2 linked regions of the Tribolium castaneum genome follow. The protein of the gene in region 1 purifies or fractionates together with the protein of each later gene. This does not show direct contact. Links are inferred from orthologs where the notes say so. Each region holds a gene or a part of one and is shown on either strand. Other genes may lie near its edges.

Region 1 (10,989 bases):
AGAGAGAAAATCTATTACAACGAAACGAAATTCAAGCGCTGGAAATACGGCAAAGAAGGGAAATTGGTGATGCAAGTGCGGGTGCCTCGGATTGCGTTCGTGCCCGGCGACGTTGTTGATGTTAAAATTTACGTGAGGAATGAGTCTAATCAGACTGTAAAGAATTTAAAAGTTAAATTTTTGAAACGAGTCAAGTTTAAATCGGTCAATCCCAAAAACAAAAGTAAGAGACATGTCGAAACGATACTGAAGTTCAAAAAGGAAGGTATCGGTGCTTATAAAGAACACACCTATGATTTGAGATTAAATTTCCCGAAAGTCTTGGATATACCGAATTTGTTTTCCTGTACTCTGATTAAACTAGAGTTTTCGCTGAAAATATGGTGCCAAATGCCCCCCTTTATTCGAAATTTCGCCATTGAAATCCATCCAGAAATGGGACACTTTTTCAGTGGGTGCGTAAGCCAGTTCCGTTTTAAATTAGTGAAATAATTATTTAATAAACTAATTCGTTTTTGCTTTAAGCAGTACCGATTATTATTAAACACCCATTTTTTTAGTCGGTATATATTAATCAATAATTCAAATGATCACATTGGTCCATAAAAAAATTAAAAATTCTAAATTAAACAAATATGGAAATTGCAATTTAAGTAATGATTCAATTAATAATTAAATTAATTACAATTTCTGGTGGTAAGGTGTTATATAGGCAACCAACAATAAGGTGCGACAGTAGCGGTTGCATATGCTATTGAAAGTTTTATAAATACAAAAAATGCAGCTTTTGATGCGATTGGCTACATCTTATCAGTATTTTTAAACATTTGCGGCTCCACCAATCACATCTCTACATTTTTAAATCAGAACACCCACAATACAAGTCATCCACACCTAACCTTTCCAAACCTGTAATTGTGCCCTGTTGTCTCGTCAAAAGTGTGAATTATCAAACAATTATCTTGTTATCTGTCCTAGTTTTTGTTGATTGTTGAAAGTATGCGACACTTATTCTGATTTTGTAGTTTTAACAACACAAATTGATTTACTTTCAGAATGAGTTCTGAACTTGATAAATCCCAACACATCCTGCCCTTAGACCAACCTATTGTGACCCTAGAAGTTGCCTCAGCATTTAAGGGACTGACTGACACGGAGAAGAGATACGCTCATCACATAAGTCAAGCGTCCTGGACCGGGGGCCTAATAACTTTCTTACAAACAAGCCCAGAATCTGGACCAATTTTTGTCCTTTTGCATAAACTATTCTCAGGTCTTAAGCCTCAGGATTTCAAAAAAGTAGCCCTTCAGGCTGGGTTTAGCGAAGATGAAGCCAAGGCGTTCCTGGTTTACGCGTGTGGAATTTTCAGTAACGCTGGGAATTATAAGGTGATGAAACCATTTGTTGCTTGTTTTCAATGTGATGATTTAGGGGTTTGGGGACTCAAAATTCGTCCCGGGGATAGCACAGGACAGGCTTGAGTCGCTCCTTGCGGCTACTCCTGTTTGGCCCAAAATTAAAGAATTGTGGGCGAAGGTGAAGAACGCTATGTATGACCTTAGCCCTGGTAAGACATGCCTAGGGTATGCCCCCCATGGGTGCACCACCTACTTGTCGAAAAACTGCACGCCTGAGGACAATCAAAGGGTGCAAGACTGGATGAAGACCCAGAATATTGAAGGCTACAACACGCGTTTGTTCAAAACTGTGCTCCCGGATGGGAAGGTAATTAAAACAGTCAAAAAAACTGTAGGTTTTTGTTAATAAAAATCATAGATTGATTACGAAATTCGGTTGGCTTCGAAAGAAACCGGCGAAATCTCGAAAGAAACCTACGGGAACATGACGTTTCGCCTAACTAAAGGCGACTATTCGCCGATTATTGGAAAAGTCGCCGAAAGTCTGGAGGAAGCGTCAAAATACGCTGCCAATCCCACTCAGGCCAAAATGTTAAAAGCTTACGCCCAGTCGTTTCTTACGGGTTCTTTGGACCTTCACAAAGATGGGTCTCGGCACTGGATTAAGGACAAGGGCCCAGCTGTGGAAACCTACATTGGCTTCATAGAAACCTACAGAGATCCGGCCGGAATTAGGGGCGAATTTGAAGGGTTTGTCGCGATCGTGAATCGCGCAATGTCGGCCAAATTCACAACTTTGGTCTCCAAAGCTGAGGAGTTTTTGCCCTTGTTGCCGTGGCCTAAAGGGTTCGAAAAAGACAAGTTTTTGAGGCCCGATTTTACCTCGCTTGATGTGCTCACGTTTGCGTCCAGCGGAATACCGGCCGGGATTAACATTCCCAACTGTGAGTGTTTTACTGTCCCATGCGGCTATCAAATAATTTTTTAACATTTTGCACAGTTAATATTACCATATTTTTTAAATATTTATTAAATGCAACACCTTTCAGCTTATTTAATGATTATGGAGAGAAAAAAAATGTATAAAAAAGTATTACACAGCGAAAACGTTTTGAAATCTGGCCAAGTTTCTTCAAAAATAATTTGCTTTGTGAGCGGTGGGGTTTAGCGAAATCTGACAAAAATAATGACCTTTTAACTGAAATAATACGCGTATGTCGTATCTCTCGCAGCAAAGATTGTAACCAGAAGAAGAAATTGAAACTTTGTCTATGTTTATTTATTAAAACAACTTCATTTAGTTGCTCAATATTTTCAAATATAAACCATTTATCATTTTACGTCGATATAATAGACATTATTACTCATTTAAATGCAACTGGTATTTTTTGTTATTCAGACGACGATATCCGGCAAAGCGAGGGTTTCAAGAACGTCTCTTTAGGAAACGTCATACCAGCCAGTTATCAAATGTCTGTGATTCCATTCTTGAACGAGTCTGATACACAATTGATCCAAAAATATCGCGTTGCTTCCTTCGAATTACAGGTAATGCCCTATTACCAACGTTAAAAAAAATAAATTGGAAATATTTAGGTGGGCCTTCACGAATTGCTAGGTCACGGTTCCGGCAAAATATTTTATCGTGCCGCCGATGGAACGTTCAATTACCCAAACACACTGTTGGACCCCTTGACGGGGAAACCCCCATCCACGTACTACGAGCCTGGGGACACCTACGATTCGCGTTTTGGCCCAATGAGCTCTTCATACGAGGAATGCCGAGCTGAAGCGGTTGGCTTATATTTAAGTCTGGAACCGGCAGTGTTGCAAATTTTCGGCCACAAAGGCCAAGAAGCCGAGGATGTCCTCTATGTGAATTGGTTGTCTTTGGTTTGGAACGGCATTGGCCGGGCTTTGGAAACGTGGGATCCGAAGCGAGGATGGCTCCAAGCCCACTCCCAGGTGATTTAAATTTAATTTCAAGCGGGAAAATTGCTCAAATAATGTTTTTTAGGCCCGATTCGTGCTGGCGCGTGTTCTGATTCAAGCCGGTGTTGCGAGTGTCACACAGCCCAGTGACGGCGATCTTTTGGTCACTCTAGACCGTGCTGCGTTGAAAGGCGCCGGTCGGAGTGCCATCGCTCATTTTCTGCTCCAGTTGCAAGTTTACAAAGCAACGGCGAATATCGAAGCAGCTCAGAATTTGTACCAACATTATTCCGAAGTGTGTGAGCCGTGGTTGAGCTGGCGCGCGATTGTTTTGGCCAACAAGCAACCAAGGAAGATTTTTGCGCAGGCTAATACTGTGTTGAGTTCGAACGTCGAATTGAAAACGTATGGGGAAACCCCGGAAGGGATGATCCAGTCGTGGACTGAACGGTTCCCGAATCCCGAGCCCTTGTATCAGGCTTTGATAGATTTAAGTGCCTCTAATGAGCACTATTTTATTTAATTTTTAATAACGATTAATTATTAGATTATATACGATGCTTTATAAACAATAAAATGATTCTTTGCACTTTGGGAATTTTATTCAACCAACCTACCCCATCCCTGACGGCTAGTAATAATAATGATGCTTCAAATTTTTTCTCCCGTTTGTCGTGAAACTAAAATTTTCGTCAGTTTTCTCAGCTTATTAAGAATTTGATGCTCAACGTTACGGCCATTTTTTGCAGTTAGTAAATTTAAATCAGTTTAGAGCCGAGATAATTTAACGCTTGAAGCGCCTTCAATTGCCTTTTGATACAAAAAAGCGAGTTATTTTGTAAGGATTTTATTTGGAAAAAGGGTTAAAATGAAATACAAGTTTCAAAATATCTTCATATATTTACGAATGATAAAATTACGAAAAATCACACCAATTATGCAACAGATTCTACATCCATCAATTACACTTACATGCTATCAGGTGAAAAAATGCAACCAAGCGTTTGCTATTTTACACTTTGGTTCCACAGTTTTATCCACCTGTTATTGCCCCTACTATGTATAAAAGTTGAATAAAAATCTAATTAGAAAAATACGACATATTCAGGAAGGGGGCCTTGCCCATGTATACACATAACCGTCTTGGCACGCCGTAATGATACAATCAGGTCGAAAAACCAAAGCAGTCAACCTTTCATGAGCAATTTTTTTACAAACTAAAGGTTCCAACACCGGACACTCGTCCAGCCTGGGACAGGCCGGTGTCCCCACCAGCTGCAAAGGATCCGACCTTCTCTTAACCTTCGGTTTCGAAGGAGTCGTCAACGCGTCTTCGGGCAGCTCCCAAAGACACAACTGCGTGTCGTGCCCCACTGACCCCAGCCTGTAGCACGACTCCGCCTCCAGGAACCAATCAAACGCCACGGCGGCCACCCACGAGCGGTGCCCCTGCGCCCTCCCGACGACCCGCTTCTGCTCCATGGAGTAAACAGTGACCAAATCGTCTTCGCCCCCCACTGCAATCAGGCGCCCGTCGCCAGACCACGCCACGCAGAGCAGCCCCCCGAAGTACGAGCGGGCGGTGCCCAGCAGCTCCATACTGTCGTACTGGAACACCCGCAACTGCCCATCTTGCGACACTATGGCCAGTTGGGCCCCACTGGGGCTGAACGCCAGCTCGTTAATGGCGCTTCCGGTGCCCAGAAGCCACCGGAAAAGAGGGTTCCGGGTCGATTTCGTCTTGCAAGTGCTCACACTGAAGCCCTCCCCCACTTTGAACGGCTGATAATGGGGGGCTGCCGAGCCACACGGGAGCTCCTCATTGTACACATACAACTGGCCTGAGGCGTGCGCTGCTAGGAACAACGACCGGCTTCCCGGCACCCACCTTAAACATGTAACCCTCGTTTTGTCAATAAGCCGCTCCTCGTTGAACAATTTGTTCAATTCTTTCTTAATCGGGTCAATTAGCTGGATCTGACCCGTGCTGAAGCCGATCAAGAGACTGACGCTCTCGCCCGAAGCTGACGCGATGTTAAAATCGTGACACGTCGGGTTCGTCCCTTTGTACACCTTCTTCTCCAAGGGCTTGCTCAAATCGGCCGCTTTCTTGATCCCTTTGTACACGTAAACGTACAGCTCCCGCCCATGGTTGAAGCAAATTCTCTCCCCCTGGTCCGGAAGCGTGACAAGGGAGACACGCACCTGGGGCGGCGTTTGCCCCTGAGTCTGATAACCGACTCGGTTAGGCCTCGAGTATTCGCTGAGGGTCATGAGACGGTAGGTGCCTTCGCGAGTCACGAACTGGGTCTTCACGTCGCCGGGCTCGCCCCCGAGCGGGCGTTCGAGGGGGCGGTCGCCCGCTTCCAGAAGCGACTGACTACATAAAGTGTCTGCTCTTGCCATTTTCGGGGCCAAAATACGCGAAGACATTCTATGACGAATTCTACAATTTACACACATTTAGGAGCCGAGGTGAAGACGTTGCAGCATTGCAGCGGTGGCTCGGGCGGTTTTATCACATTTTTGCTGGTAGTAAGGCTAATTCACTACTTTTTCGTCTATTTGTGGCAATTAGACATGGAAAATGAGGTTAGGAAATAAATAATATTTGAAAAGCAGAGACGCCAATAGCGGGCAAGGAATATCCCCGCCAGGAGAGCGAGCGGTTTTTTTAAACTGATTATTCATTATTTCCGTTTGGGAATAAAACACTGTAGGGCAACTATTTAGGATAAAATGCAGGTATTCCTATAAGGATGGTAAAATAAGAGTATTAAAATCTATGGACTGCCATTATTCTTACTATTACGGTCTTGTCAAAGCATATTTTTATTTTAACTACTCTACTCTACTATGTATTTTATCAATATTTCTTATGCATTTGGTATTGTTGAACTGATTGTTTTATTTAGTTATTGATAACTACTGTCTGGGCAAATAACACATGACCGCTGTTGATGTAACACGTATCTGATGAATTATTTATAACAATATGCTGAATCAATAAAAATTAAAAAATAATTAGATTGGGCAGCATAGTTTGACTTAATAATTCCAGTCTTAATTTGTGTTTACAATATATTTTTACAATAAAACTTGATTATTATCTTGGAGGTTACCACACGCTCGAAACATATAATTTTGGGAACAAAATAATTTTTTGCCGCGTCTAAACTCTAAACACAAACATTTAATTACAATAATACATACTATAATTTAATGCTTACAATTTTACAACTCTATATACAAGGCAAGTCTGCATTTTTACCGCATTTTTTCTTATTTTAGGCATTGTTTGTTAATAAATTTACGTAAGAAATTTTTTTTTCAAAGATTTAACAGGCATTATATTAATCTATTAATTTTAATTATGAAGAAATGAGCAAAGATTCTGAAAAAATTCACATGCATGCATAGGGAAAAAATTAAGTATTTAATAGCAATAAACCATAAAAAAGTACCTATTTTTATTGGAAGTTGCAACAACATTTATTGTATTTTTTTCTTAATGTCCAACTCCTTTGCAATACCTTTTCTTCTGATGCATTTATAAATAAGATATGTGGCACAGTAAACAGTGAGTAAGATTAACACAAGTGAAAGCAGAGACACAAATACTAAATCTAAATTAGCAGATTCGACGAAATTCATGTTTCTTGTAGCTAGATTGAAGTGTTCTGCAGTCTTAAATTTTAAAATGTATTCGATCCAAAATATTGCGACGTCTAAAGGTTTGTTCATTTGATGTTTGTACAACGCGGACCACTTTTTTGCGTTTTCCATATAACTAAAATTGTTAATTTCACATTTTCCTTGCTACAACTACAATTAACAAACTTACGTATTGTTGTTTAACACTTTTTGAATGACTTTAAATAAATTGTGTTCTGTGATTTCAAAAAAACTTAATTTTTCGCCGACACCTTTTGCAATAAACGTGTCAACATTTTGTAACTGGTCCAAAAAGAACGGAATTCCGATTACTGGAACCCCATTATACATGATTTCGTGTGAACTTAACAAACCGCCATGTGATATAAAAAGAATTGTATTGGGATGACCTAAAATTAGTAATTAAAATAATTAAAAGAAATATAGAAAAAAACACCGAGAATATCGTTCTGTGGCACCCATTTCCGAATATGCACATTTGCTGGAATTCCCTCTAGTTTATCGTTTTCAAATTTCCATATTACGGTTTGTTTGAGTTTTGAGAAAGTATTGATAATTGCCTGAATTCGTTCGGGGCCTAATTCCTTGGACCGTACATTGGAGCCAAGTGAAAATAAAATAGCACCAAATTTCGCATTATCCAGAATTTCTTTTAAATCCTGAAAGACTTTGATAAAATCAGAATTTCCAAAAAAACATGTACCATACATCAGGTAATCGCTTCGGTTGGATGTGTAAACCACCAACTGGAATCATATTCGGGGGCAAAGCTTCAACGTAGTTAAAAACAGGGTTGTAATTGATTAACATTAAGCTCATATTTTTCTCAATTTCTAAAATACTCGACTTCATCGGACCAAAATAATCATAAGCCAATTCTTGCTGACGGGGAATGTAATGTGTGAGCCTTGACACTTCAAGCAGTAACATAAAGAAAAAACTTTTTAATTTTTGCCAGAGATTTATTTGGGCCCCGAAAGAGTGTGTCATAAATGGGATGTAACTTTGCCAAATATTTCTAAACAAGTTTGGCTGGTTTATGAAAGGATTCACTCCTATTATTGGAGGGTTCCCGAATTTTTCTATGAGGGGATATAAGCAGTGTCCATAGTTAACGTCCACAATAATCAAATCAAATTTGAAATCGTTTGGATAATTAGTTATTTGTCGTAAACCCTTTGTTTTTTGGTCTAGAAGACACGTTACTTCGGCAAATGACCACAAATTTTTAATTGTTTCCCAATCGGACATATCTTTCATTGCCATTAAATCAAACTGATCTCTTACTTTCTCATAAGCTCCTACAAAATTTTGCCAAGTGGACTATCGACAAAATAAAATGAACTCACCTTCCATGACAATGTATGTGTAGTTGGGATGATTATGTTTGTCCTTATCGTGTCCCAACAGTGTAACATTGTGTCCCCTCTTCGCCAATTCAAATAAATAAACATCATTGAAAAGGTGATGGCTCGGGGAAAGAAGTGTATTAATGGCTAAGATATTCGCACCAAACACATTTTGTGCCAATGATGTAAAAATAAATAATGAAAACAACCTTTGTGCTTTTAATGACATTATTTCGTGTGGTCGGAGTCGGATTTACAACTGACACATAGGATAAAAGCGTGTTGTTTTAAGATTTATATTATAATAATAGTACTAGTTTAATTATATCTTCATGCTGCGATAACGTGTTAATAATCGTAAAAACATTACACGAAATTATTGTCCGTGAGTTGTTGAGTATAAGAATACCTCACATACACTCATAGCATGATGTCTAGAATAAGGCAAATAGATAGATAAAAAAATTAAATTATCACTTTAGAACTAAAATTTTATGGAACAAATACTTAAAAAATGAGGGTTTTATTGTTGAATTCATTCTTAGTGAGCAACAATTAAAAAAATAAGCAAGCACTAATTAATTTTTTTCTTTGTTTGTGGGTCTGTTGCATCTCCTCAAGGACTCAGTCCAAATAAAATATTTTTAGTCTTTGGCGTTTGTTAAGAGTAGCATAATTTGCATAATTAATTTGAAATTATTATGAACTTTTTATGAGTTTACTATTTTACATTTTTGCATTAGGAGTACGTATTTCTACAAAACAGTGGTGACGCAAAATTTAACAATTTTCTGATTCAACTTTTCAGTTTATTTTTACTGGCTTGTAAACAAAAACAAGTAGCACAAAAAATGGTTAAATTGAATCTAATTTTATTATGAAAAAACCTAATTTTTCTTGTAATTAGGTAGGGACGTGAAACCGACATGTGTTGTTTAATACTTTAATTTTTAGGCAAAAACTTGTTAATTGTTAGGAATTAGACAATTAGACCAGGTGTAAAATTCAAGGATGGTTCAACACACGTAAATTAATTTTTCACCTCATTTCTTTCTATACTTTCTTTGAAAAACGTATTAAAGAGTTCAAAGAGTATATCGTCGACAAAATCGATTACAACCTAATAATGTGTTATAGGGTAATTAAAATTTGCGTCACCACACTTGTCGACAAGTCCAAGATTTGTTTTGATGAAGTTAAAAAACCTGTTCCCTGGTATATCCTAGCAATGATCTCTATATAAATAAGGTTCCAAATTCAAATGAATTTATTAGACGTAAAGCAGCCAAAATGCTTTTTACTGTGTTTCTAGTTCTTACATGTGCTCATGTTGTTTTTCTGGAAGAGTATGTGATTCCTGATAACATCGATATTGATGATATTCTCAGTAACGAACGTTTGCTGAAAAATTATGTAAATTGCCTATTGGATAAAGGAAGATGTACGCCAGAAGGGAAAAAGCTTAAAAGTGAGTACACATTTACTAATAATTATCTGCATAAAGTTTAAAAAAATTGCAATTATTTAAAAAAACAACAAACAAAAATTAATTCGTTTTAGGTACAATACCAGAGGCTCTTAGTACAGATTGTGCAAAATGTAACGAAAAAGTGAAAGCAAATGTCAGAAAGGTTTTGCACCACCTTATAGATAATAAACCTGATATGTGGAAGCAGTTAGAAGCTAAATATGATCCTTCTGGAGAATACAGATCCAAATACAAAGATGAACTAGAGAAAAATGGGATTCATGTCTAATGTACTCGTACCTTCTGTAGATGTAAATATGTTGTGCGGACTGTTTAATAAAGCAACGTTTTTATGAACACAGCATTAGGTACTTATTTCTTTTGTTGTCCTTAGTATACCTATACTGCTGCATCAGTAGAAAAGTTACTCTAACTTTTCAATAAATACCTCCCAATTATTATTATACTCATAACTGACTTAATTTGCATAGAATAGAATTTAGACATAAACATAATATAAAAACATAAAGAAAATTAGTCGTTATACCAGTTTTTAGCTTGCGATGTCTAAATAGTGACCTTGTGATTTAATTATACTAAAATAGCCTCGAAAATAACGAATTCTATAAAAAAACTGTTTCAATCATCTTGGGGATGTTGGTATTTTAATATTATATTCCACAATATCATCTGCATTTTGTAAAAAATGATAATACTTTCCAAATGGTAATAATTTTTTCCTGAAAAATACAAAACCATTACAACTGTAATGGTAATTATTCTTCATGCTGTAACAGGTTTTCTTTATATTTCGTAGTATTTCCAACTTTTTTTGAACAGTTTACAACTTTTTTTATGTTTTTGATAAATGAAAATGTAGATTTTCCGAACTACTCAAGTGATAATTATGTTAGGAATTTCTTAAAACCATTTTATGTTGTTTTCTATATTTTATTTTATTTTGGATAGGCTCCCCAGTTTTGAACTTTCATTGTACAATAAAAATTATTGTAAGTGTTTTTGATTGTAATTTGAGCGTATTTCCAAATCTATCAACAACAGATGAATGAATGACTAAGCTATACAGTGAGTACTACAAGTACAAGTACTAGTACAAATAGGTAAGTACGCTTAAAAATCACAGAATACTTCGGTCCCATAAGTCGTTAGTCTTCAGTCAATGAGATAGTTTAATGCCCTCTTACG
Region 2 (10,989 bases), on another chromosome or scaffold:
CCTGTCACCAATGGATTACAACTGTAATTGTTTGAGTGGATTCAGGTAAACTACCACTTTTTATTTAAACGTATCTTCTTAATTTTAAAAGACCTCATTGACTTTCTTCCGCTACAGTTTGTAGCAAGATATTAAAAATATATCAAAACGAAAATTAGAACAAGATGTTAATAATATAATAACACACATTCTACATCTCTACATACCTCGAAACCAACAATAGTTAGTATCGATACCTCCTATCACACACTCGCCGCATTAACACGCACTATTCAACGAATTTGAAACTTTTAAACCTCAAAATTCTGATTTTATTTGAGGCGTCCGTTCGCGACAACAACAAGTAACAAACTGAATAAAATTAAACGGCACAATAATTGTGTAAGAATAACGATAAAACGTCACTAATAAAAAATATAATCTGTGAGATAACTAGGTGCGAGGCGGGAAACAAAGATATTTGTCTGAATCATTGATTTTTGTAACGACTTTATCATTTAACGTTTTTTTATGTATCTACTGAAAATATACAAGGTCCATTCCCTGAAATTAATTTCTTAAGCAAATAATTTTGGACAAAGCAGTTTACGTTTTAGCGAAATATTTAATATGATGATGCAGAAAAAAATACACTTTGTGCACATGCAACAATTCAAAACATAAAAAAATCCCATTTTTTTACAGTGGTAAAGACTGCGAAATTGAAATGAATATCTGCGAGCAAAAAATACCATGTCAGAATGGAGGCACATGCAGTGGAAACGCAACAGGATACGAGTGCAGTTGCCCACTTCTCTTCTCTGGAAAAAATTGTGAACTCCGTAAGTAAACCAAAATTTAATAATAACTGGGAGTATATTGACTGATTTGTTCGTAGGTGTTGAATTAAGAAACGACGCACATTTTAACGGCAAAGGCTACCTGGAATTCGACCGCGATCTCCTCGATCACATCAAAGAGAACGAAGACGAACTAATAGCAGTGGAATTGTCCACAAATTCGAGCGACGGTCTGGTCTTTTGGCACGGACAAACGCCCAACGAAGATGGCCAAGGGAAAAATTATATTTCTCTCGGAGGTTCGTTATTTTTTGCATCAATTGCCAAATTAACACATGTTTATTTGCAGTTGTAAACGGATACTTGGAGTTCAGTTACGACCTAGGCTCAGGTCCTGCGATAATCAGAAACACGCAGAAGAGAGTAGATGATGGGCAAAGACACAGTGCCATTTTGAAACGCAGAGGTCGCGTTGGTTCTATAGAAATCGACAATGCGTACACCCAAACGGGTGAATCCCCCGGTTTTACAAACACGTTGTCATGCGCTGGAAACATATACCTGGGGGGAGCCCCGAATATCGGACTCATGACTGGAAGGAGGTTTAGCCATGGCTTTGACGGATGCGTTCACGCTTTCGAGCTACAAAATTTGAAAACACTTGATTTGGGAATAAGAGCGATCTCGGGAGTTAATGTTAAACCATGCTCTAGGTGAGTAATTTAAACTTGTATCTAGGTCGAGTTCTATGCACCATCGGACACACACTCAAACATAAATTTAAATAAATAAATTACCAGCATGTGTCCGTAAATGCATGGAAATGCGGTGATTTTTTTGACTAATTGAAAACTTTACACGCTGCTTATTGAAGAATACGGTGGATTCCGTCCTCGTTGATTTTTGCTGATTCGGATCAGTTTGATGAAATTGTTGAGCCCCCTCCTGTTAACATAATCCATCCAAAGCCCTCCAGTATGTCGCATCAACGTCCCTGTCTTAATTTCTATCACGTCATATACCTTTGCTGCATACAAATACTGCTGACAGACATTTGACTAAATGAACTGATGCATTTTATTACGTAAATAATCGCAATAACTTCATGTGCTAGACAATAGACTAATAACGAAACATAAGTTTGTTCTAAAATTATAACATATCAAAACAAGTCCAATTATATCTATTCCAAAAGATTATGTTGACTAGGTCGAATTGTAGAAATGTTAAAAATTGTACATAAATAAGCAATTTGAAGGTAAATATTTTATTACCGTTAATTACATGATATAGACTGACGCTTTTTTATCCAATTATTGCAACCTCTAGTGGATTGTACATATTTAGGTAAGAAGATATCAATTTTAAACAAGTCAGATCCTGCATACATTTATTTTCTGTTACTAATTTGTACTTCTGTTTCAGCTTCGATGACCTATATGACGAAAATGACCTCGTGAATTGAGAACGACTACTAGTTTTAAGTTAAGGGCAGTCGATTTAGTTGTCCAACAAGTGTTCACTTATTTGTGTTCATTTTATTTTATTCAAGATCATTACAAACAGCAAAATGTTAATTGGTTAAAAGCACAGTAAATTAGCATTTTGCCAACCTTATTTTATTCCCCCAATGGAATAACTTTCTATTCTTTTAACTGCCATTTTTCTGGTCGATTCTTTTTTTATACATATACTATAATCTTTTTTATATGATTTTATCTTTAAAAAATTGTGCCATTTTAGGGATAGTTTAGTAAGAAAATAACTGTTGAAGAGCAATGTATACTTAAAAGGGTACATAAAAATAAGGTCCAATATGTAATTTATGAAAAAATCATCTTTCGACTTTTAGTGTAGTCTTTTAATTTTTAATGGTGCTATTAACAAATTATTATGAATAAAGGCTTTGTTGATACAAGTTATACTCTTCTGTGCTTTCTTTGTCCATATGTTGCTTACATTTTCATGTTTTGATTAATTGTACCAGTCAGTTTTACTTTTTCAAATGAAAATGTATACAATGTGATTTTACAAAACGAAACAAAAACGTATCAGCAATGGTGATTAACAATAAAATATAATTATATATAGTTATATAGGCTAAACATGTTTTATAAGTGCTTTAAATTTTTTCTTTCTCTATAGACTAAAAAGAAAAACACTAATTATGTGGAGAAATTATATATATAATAAATCAATTGTATAAATTGCCTAAATTCTAAGAAATAACCGTGAAATTCGTTTATTGGATGGCATTTAAAGCTCTCCCATCTTGAGCGTGTTGAATCTCGTTGAATAAATAAATGCCTTCTAATAACACGTATTGTTTGTAATTAACTATTTGTTATAAGTGCATTTTCAATAACTGAAGACAATAATTATTGAATAAATGTATGTAAAACTGACGCATTTTTATTATCTCCTTCGCAAAAGTGCTGTATCTGTAATTCAAGGGGAAGTCTCACTTCTCACTGCCACTGGTTCTGCCGCTCAATAATCACTAATCAGTGATTATAATAGGTACGTATTAAGAAGTAATAATAAAAACCAATATTCACTCCGAAAAATACAAATGCGCTGTTGCAAAATTCTACTAAGAACTGAGATATATATCCCATTTCAAAATAACAAAACGTACAAATTTCATAGTACAAAGGATGCTTTAAAGGCGTACTTGAATAACCCGCTAATAGATTCAGTTCCATCACAATTTGTTATGTGGCGCTGTAGTTTAGAACTGATGTCGGTAAGGGCGGAATCCTATCTACATAGAGTGATTCTATGGACTTTTTTTCGGTGGATAAAAATGCGGATGCTTATTTTGCTTTGGATAAAAAAACTTCGGACAAAATGGAGCTCTCCCAAAAAAGCATGTTACTGTATAAATGATTTAGTATTTATAAAAAATACTGTTTAATCGTTTATTATTTATTTGGAACCTCAGACACAAATCAGCTGTTTTTGACGTTAGCCTCTGTCAATGTCGACAGTAAATAAATAACACAATCACAAAAAACAAATAATAAAACAAAGAGGAGGATTATGTGGGCTTTTTTACCCTATCCTGCTTTATACAAAATCTTCCAGTACTTGAATTATAAAGAATTAGTGCGTGTAAGTGAAGTTTGTCATAACTGGTGTGAGGTTAGTCGAGATGATTTTCTCTGGAAAGACTTGTTCTTTGAGAACTTTCTTGTCGATAAATCTGTACCGATAGTTTCTGGTAAAACAAGAAACATAATACGGCTTATCAATAATTTAATCGCTTGCAGAAAGAACTTGGTATGAGGAATTCAAAAGACTATCTTACAATGTTCCAGTGGTCCAAACAGAGACATTACACGATCATCGACATCAAGTCCTTCATGTCAGTTTTTCACACAACGGCAAATACTTTGCCACATGCTCAAAGGATGGCTATGTCCTGGTAAAAATCTCATTTAGAGCTATACAGCGCTTTCTATTAAATTCACGATCAAAGGCGCCTGTGACTGAAAATTGGCCACAGGCCACTTTGACCATGTCGTCCACTCTTAACTTTTCTTATTGAAGCTATGGAACTCCACATATCCAGTTGAAATAAAATATTCACGAGATATGAACAGTTTTTCCTGGAAATACACACAATATTCACAGTTTAATGAATCTGACACTCTGCTTCTTGTATCAGGAGTTCATTTTGGTACACCACATAGTACTTCAGGCGAAATTGCAGTATTTAATTTACTCGGTAATAAATTACGTTGCAACAGACTCAAGTGTGCCAATTACGTTGTTTTTAGCTGGGTTTGAGTTGCAATGTCGAGTCGTCAATAAGCCATATGATATTTATGGCACTTGGTACAGTGACCAACACTTACTCTCAGGTGACTTACATTGGTTAGCACATTTAGTTAGTACGTCCTCGTTATGGTTAAATAAAGCATCACAAGAGGCTGAATCAGAGCATGTCCCGATAACTCATAACATGTTTCGGTTTTATAACAGAAATGCAAGTTCAATTAGAGCGATAATGATCGCCAACTGTCTTCCAAATTCTGAACTTGCGACAGAGACCAAAGAAACCGAAGTTGAGGTCGGACCGTCTGAAAATAAAAACAGCACATTTGAGCACGGGAACCCTGTAAGCCATAGAGACATAAATGCGGTTCCCTGCACACACAGTTCTTCTGGTAATAATTTAAAACGCGAAACGTAGGACTAACAACAAGGAGGGAAAAAGACTCAAAATAACCCTTTGTTTGAAAAGAAAAAAAAAAGAAAATTAAATTCTTAACAAGCTGAGAAACCCCGATCTATATTTTTTAAAACTTGATGGGCAAATACAATTGCAAAAAACAATGCAATGTAGAACTAACAGAAATGAGTCGCCTCCTAACTTTTTAGTCCTCCGTAATTGTTGCAAGTTTAAGTAAATTTGAATATTTTAGGCAGTGCTATTTCTTTTGATGCCAAAAAAACTGCAAGTGGCTCAGACTTAGGAAATCCGATTTGGTATAATTCAGATTATCGCAAAGTTGAATCTGAGAATATGCTAATAGATGAGTCTGAGGAAGAAACGGAAGATGATGACACTGGCAAGGATGATTGTGATGATGAAGGTTCTGAAGAAGACTCAGATCAACTCACTCAAAACGATAAATATTTAATTTTTACAACGGGCTTTAAAACATACACACCTCATCAGATAGGTACGTAATAAAATAAAAAGACATTAAAACAAAAAACAATTACGACAAAGTAAAGTTGTTTGCTTTTCAGTTTTCAAACTATTCGTAAAGCATAACGAGAATAATAATTCAACTAAAAAATTAAAAAGACGTACGAAATCGCCGAAACAACACAACACTTTCATTTTAAAACATCTTATCAATTAATGAGCTTATTTTTGTCTATCCTTTTCTTTACTTCGTTTTGTGTTACAACTACGGCTATTTAAAGATTAGGATACGAAACGACGTACAAATAAAACGTTCCCGTCCTCGATAGTTCCACTAATGTCGGCAGAGGGCCCAGTTGTTCTATCACTGTCTAAGTTTTCAGAGCAATGACTTTGTAAAAATGGTTAACACCTACCTAGCAAACAAAAAAAAATCAGGCAGATAGAGCATTAAATTCTCAACAGTAAGACGTAAACATAATGCAAACATTTGTCGTAAACTATGTTTAAAAAAAATTAAAACTTTTACCAATCTGTACTCTATCCCATATTTTTTAAAACGCTGCGAATACGGTTACAGATGCAAGAAAAATGCTAGGAAGAAAGCTGTACAGAATTTATAGTCGTCCGTAGTTACAACAGTACTTTAGTGACAAATTTTGTGAGAAAGTGACAGAATGGGGAATAAATAGATAGAATATAATTAGATAAGTACCACGTAATCAATCAAAACCTTAAAAAAGAAGAAATTATTTTGTTAACAATCGGCGAAAAATTATAAACTTGTCTAATATGTATTTAAAACGCGAAGGAACAAAAATGCGATTGTGATCCAAAATCATCTTTTTTAAATCATTAATTTAGATTTACCTGTGTTTGTTATATTTATCGTTTTAAATTTTAAAAAATGATTAGTATTATCCCGTATCAGGAAATTTCCTTGAACGAAAACCAACCTATTTTCAGGCTTTAAACGGATAAAACCGTTCGCTTTCCCTAAACGCTTGGACCCGGGCCCCTCGTTGAAAGAACGCATAATTCTGCGTGAACGCAAACGCGAGCTTTTAAAATCCGGTTCGCCGCCCCCCGAGCCAAACTGGCTAGATTTCGACTCAGTGGCCGATAAATTTGACAAAGTCGACCATGTGATTGATTTACATGGCCATATCGTCGGAATGGGCCTCAGTCCTGACCACAGATACCTCTACGTCAACAGCAGATCCTGGCCTGAAGGGTACAAAATATCGAATCCCTTGGATCCGCCCCCGATTGCACAAGAAATCGACATCCACGTTATTGACTTAGTGACTTTGAAACAAGTCGGTACTATGCTACGAGCGCACAAGGCGTACACTTCCAACAGCGAGTGCTTTTTTATATTTTTGGACGTTTGCAACCAGTATGTGGCGAGGTGAGAGGGCTTATGAACATTTTCAGGTTTGCATGCAAGTGTTTTCAGTGGCGCTGAAGATAAGCATGGGTACTTGTGGGATCGACACTACGGCATGTGTTTAGTTAAGTTCCCGCATTCGGATGTGGTTAATTCCGTAGCATTTAATCCCAAAGACCCGGAAATGTTGGTTACTACGTCAGATGATCACATCATTAAGGTGTGGAGGTCAAGGGCCAAAGTGAGAGAACTGAAATTGAGCGAAACGCAGTTTCCAAAAGGTGTGGAGTTTAGACGAAGTCGAACGAAAGATAAGTTAAGATGCAACGCCGGCATAAGGAGGATATGAGGTTGTGGTGGCAATAATTGTGTCTTCGTGTGAACATAATCCAGTTTTTCGAGTCGTTTGATTGTACTTTTAACTTATTAGTTTATCCGTCCAAATATGAAGGAATGTTTTTATGACTAACATAATCTTGAATATATGAAAATAAAAAAATATATATTGCCTTATTTATTTTTCATAAAGTCCTAAATATTGGTCATAAATATTGTAATACTTTAATGTTTTCACACCTCGTGAGATTCGTTGTTATTATTTAATATACTTTCATCAGAGCCCTTATTACCATCTGTGTTACTATCATCTTGAGTTTGATGCCTCTTCTTCTTTTTTTCCACATGACCTTTACAGTGCTCACACTCGTCATCAGATCCTTCCTCCGAACTGCTTTCATCAAAATTTCGCGGTTTTTTATATATACAACAACCTACAAAACTGAAACTTTACACGATAACACGAACAAACACCTACATTTTGATTTCTTTTTATTCATATGTTCGTTGTCTACTGTTTCAGTTGTCCACTCCACTTTTCTGTCACTCTTGGGTTTAGTTAGCCTCAGCTTAAGTGTAGGCACTTCATGATCCTGCAAGAGCTTGAAATTATCACTATTTACTCTTGCAACGTTTTCTTTGTACACCATTAAATTTTTATCATGATTACCCCAATCGCTCAGGAAAAACACCATTGTCTGTTGTAAAATTTTATTGTGTACAAAGAAAACGTTGCTACAGTACTCTATGATATGACGTATGATGGCCACCGAATAGCATGTTTAGTCGATTAACAATTAAATAAATAAATAAATAATTCAAGTAAATGAAAAACTATAATCAATTATCTGTTCAATTACAATTATTAATTTTTTTTATTAAGGAGAAATATTTTTACTCAGGAAAGTTTCTGGTAATGCTTTCCTGAAATTCTTGTTTTTAAGACTCCATATGATATGCCTTATAAAGCGTGTTACGCTTTAGTGAGACATGCCGTAGCGTAACACCATAAATAAATAATAAAAAAATAGGAAAATAACGTCATTTAATTAGCGATTTATTATCAGGTTTCGAAAAAAAAAACAACAGAAATACATACCTTTACCTCACAAGTCTGCATTTTCAACCTAATTTGTAGTTATTTTGGATAAAATTTAGCAACATAATTGCGCGTCTGCTTTAAAAATACATGTTAAAAAGCGTGAATACCTAATTTAGTTCTTCGTACAAAAACTTGGTGAATGGTCTAAAATAGCACAAAATAAAATTTGCGACCAAAGTTTATAATTTTTGTCCTTTTTGCAAAATCTAACGGAAAAATTTGTCCATCTGAAAAAACCGCAGCTGCCCGCAAACGCACATCGGAAGTTAAAAAAAAGATTAACCATTTAATTACAATTGCACTTAATTATAAAAAAAAAACAATACAGTTTTAGCGATGAGAATAAACTTGAACGGATTGAAAAATAAAATACAAAAACAAAAATGATTTATTACAATTTAAAAATGGCGTGTAACAAATCATGTGAATTAGTTTAACCTTCTTATTATTTACGGGTTTGTACTGTTAACACGTCACATATTAGCCACAAAATATTGCTTCAATGGAAACTCAAGTATTTATAAAAATGGAAATGTTAAATTGCAGCTACAAAATAAGTATGTGTAAAGAATTAACATAAAAAATAAATAAACGCAGGTCTATTTGAACACACAATAGTGAAGTGATTAGAAGCCTTTGCATTGGAAATACAAATACAAAAACACTGAGTTGAGTTTATTAACAGGACGATGGCAAGCCACTTGATAAGTAAACAGTAACATTGAAGTTATGATTTTGGTAAAAATGAATTAGTAAAGACAAAAACATGATCACAATATTTTTTCTCTATGATATCGATAATACATTGCTTTTATCACATTTGTCTATAAACACTACCAATCCCCCACCGTTTGAGAGACTTTCATCCCATTTTAATTTGATATTGGAATACATTAATAACCCACAAATGCAGTCTTAGTGTTCACAATTAATAGGATGTTCTTCCCCCGATTGTTTCTTTTTCTTCTTCTTCTCCACATGACCCTTACAGTGCTCACACTCATCATCTGAATCTTCCTCAGAACTGCTCTCATCGAAATTCCTAGGTTTCTCGTAAATACAGCAACCTAGTCAACGAAAAAATCTTAATTTCGCATACGTAATTCACAAACGGCTACTTACATTTTGATTTCTTTTTATTCAAGTTTTCATTATCCACGGTCTCATTCGTCCACTTAACTTTTTTATCGTTTTTGGGCTTTGTCAACTTTAACTTAAGAGTTGGCAATTCATGGTCCTGTAAATAAGTCGCAAAATAATAACATACAAGTGCGAAATAGTTTATTATAAAAGTAAATACAAAAATAAACCAATACCAATAAAATAACAAAAGGCAAGAAATAGTATAGTTCACTGAATGACACTTTGCTTTTTCAGATCATTAATTTGTTCGGTTGAATAGTTTAAAATAGTCTCCAGGACTTCTTGAGTGTGTTGGCCTAAAGTCGGTGGCGGAGATCTCACACTGTTTCCCCCATCGCTATACTTGACCGGAGGTCCAACAACTTTTATGTTGCCAGCCACAGGATGCTCCAAATTTTGCACCAATCCGATTTCCTTGATATGCGGGTCATCGAAAGTTTCTTTTAAGGAATTCACAGGCCCTGACGGAAAAGACCCGCCGGCAAAAATTTCACTCCACTCTTTTTTGGTTTTAGTGGCCATTATAGACCGTAACAGACCGATCAATTCAGTCCTGTGCTTAACTCGCAGCTGGTTGGTTTTAAATTTGTCGTTTTCGGCCAAATCTGGCCGTTTTAGTTTCCTGCAAAGGTCTTGGAATTGCAAGTCGGACCCAGTGCCTATGGTGTAGTACCCGTCCTTGGTCGGGAACGCTTCGTATGGGACTATGCTCTCGTGGGCGGTGCCCCAGCGACTTGCCTCTTTCCCCGTGTTTAGGTAATTTGAGCCAATGTTGATGAGTGAGGCCACTTGGGTTGAGAGGAGATTGCAGTCGATTTTTTGCCCCTTTCCGGTCCTTGTGCGCTGAAAGAGCGCGGCCATGATAGCCCCATGCGCGTACAAGCCGGTCGATAGGTCGGTCATGGCGACGCCGGCCTTGCAGGGCTCGCCCCCTTGGGGCCCCGTGATGTGCAGGAAGCCCCCCATCGAGGCCGCAATGACGTCGTACCCAGGCTTGGTCCTGTACGGGCCATCGGGGCCAAACCCAGTGATGGAACAGTAGATTAAATGGGGGGCAACTGCCTTGAGGTGCTCGTAACCCAGCTGCATCTCGTCTAGTTTTCCCGGCACGTAATTTTCCACCAACACGTCCGACTTTTCGGCCAGTTTGTACAGAATATCGCGGCCTTTTTTGAGATCAACACAGACACTTTTTTTGTTGCGGTTGAGGCAGACGAAGTACGCCGTTTCCGCCGTGTTGTTGATGAACGGCGGGCCCCATTTGCGGGCCTCGTCGCCGCCCCCGGGCCGCTCGATTTTGAGGACTTCGGCCCCCAGGTCGGCCAAAATCATGGTGCAGTACGGCCCTGCCACTATTCGGGTTAAATCTAGAACTCGCACGCCTTCCAGCGGGAAATTACGCGAGTGTATTGATCTAAACGCGCTGTTTGCTATTTTTAAACGGGCGAATTTAACATGAGGGATGGATTTGTACACAGTGGCCAACATTTTCGACTACAACTACTCAAAATTCTTATCAATTACGTAATGTTTACCTGTTCATCGGGCTCGACAGTTTCGACGACTGTCACAGTGGAAG

What was found.
Region 2: the proteins of WD repeat-containing protein 20 (region 1) and Fbw5 purify together in Homo sapiens (co-immunoprecipitation; 3 studies listed by BioGRID and IntAct, counting the BioPlex papers as one, with this or other methods). This does not show direct contact. The link is inferred for Tribolium castaneum from reciprocal best matches to the Homo sapiens genes WDR20 and FBXW5.

The regions. Positions count from the first base shown.
Region 1 is NC_087396.1:10,862,964-10,873,952, reverse strand, and holds WD repeat-containing protein 20, read right to left. Parts: upstream 6,202-10,989; 5' UTR 5,755-6,201; coding exon 4,396-5,754; 3' UTR 4,172-4,395; downstream 1-4,171. Other genes in the region: arrestin domain-containing protein 5-like, read left to right, coding at 1-492; DppIII (dipeptidyl peptidase 3), read left to right, coding at 1,056-1,389, 1,433-1,726, 1,778-2,303, 2,759-2,907, 2,956-3,324, 3,377-3,814; UDP-glycosyltransferase UGT5, read right to left, coding at 6,784-7,081, 7,136-7,355, 7,403-7,625, 7,675-8,267, 8,316-8,544; Csp18 (chemosensory protein 18 precursor), read left to right, coding at 9,606-9,783, 9,876-10,072. UniProt on the Homo sapiens protein: Regulator of deubiquitinating complexes. Activates deubiquitinating activity of complexes containing USP12. Anchors at the base of the ubiquitin-contacting loop of USP12 and remotely modulates the catalytic center of the enzyme.
Region 2 is NC_087398.1:9,095,240-9,106,228, reverse strand, and holds Fbw5 (F-box/WD repeat-containing protein 5), read left to right. Parts: upstream 1-3,721; 5' UTR 3,722-3,821; coding exon 3,822-4,002; intron 4,003-4,051; coding exon 4,052-4,206; intron 4,207-4,331; coding exon 4,332-4,509; intron 4,510-4,561; coding exon 4,562-4,951; intron 4,952-5,209; coding exon 5,210-5,470; intron 5,471-6,405; coding exon 6,406-6,850; intron 6,851-6,898; coding exon 6,899-7,178; 3' UTR 7,179-7,330; downstream 7,331-10,989. Other genes in the region: basement membrane-specific heparan sulfate proteoglycan core protein, read left to right, coding at 1-45, 685-821, 878-1,078, 1,129-1,492, 2,205-2,244; succinate--hydroxymethylglutarate CoA-transferase, read right to left, coding at 9,618-10,898; uncharacterized protein LOC100141846, read right to left, coding at 7,400-7,599, 7,644-7,758, 10,946-10,989. UniProt on the Homo sapiens protein: Substrate recognition component of both SCF (SKP1-CUL1-F-box protein) and DCX (DDB1-CUL4-X-box) E3 ubiquitin-protein ligase complexes.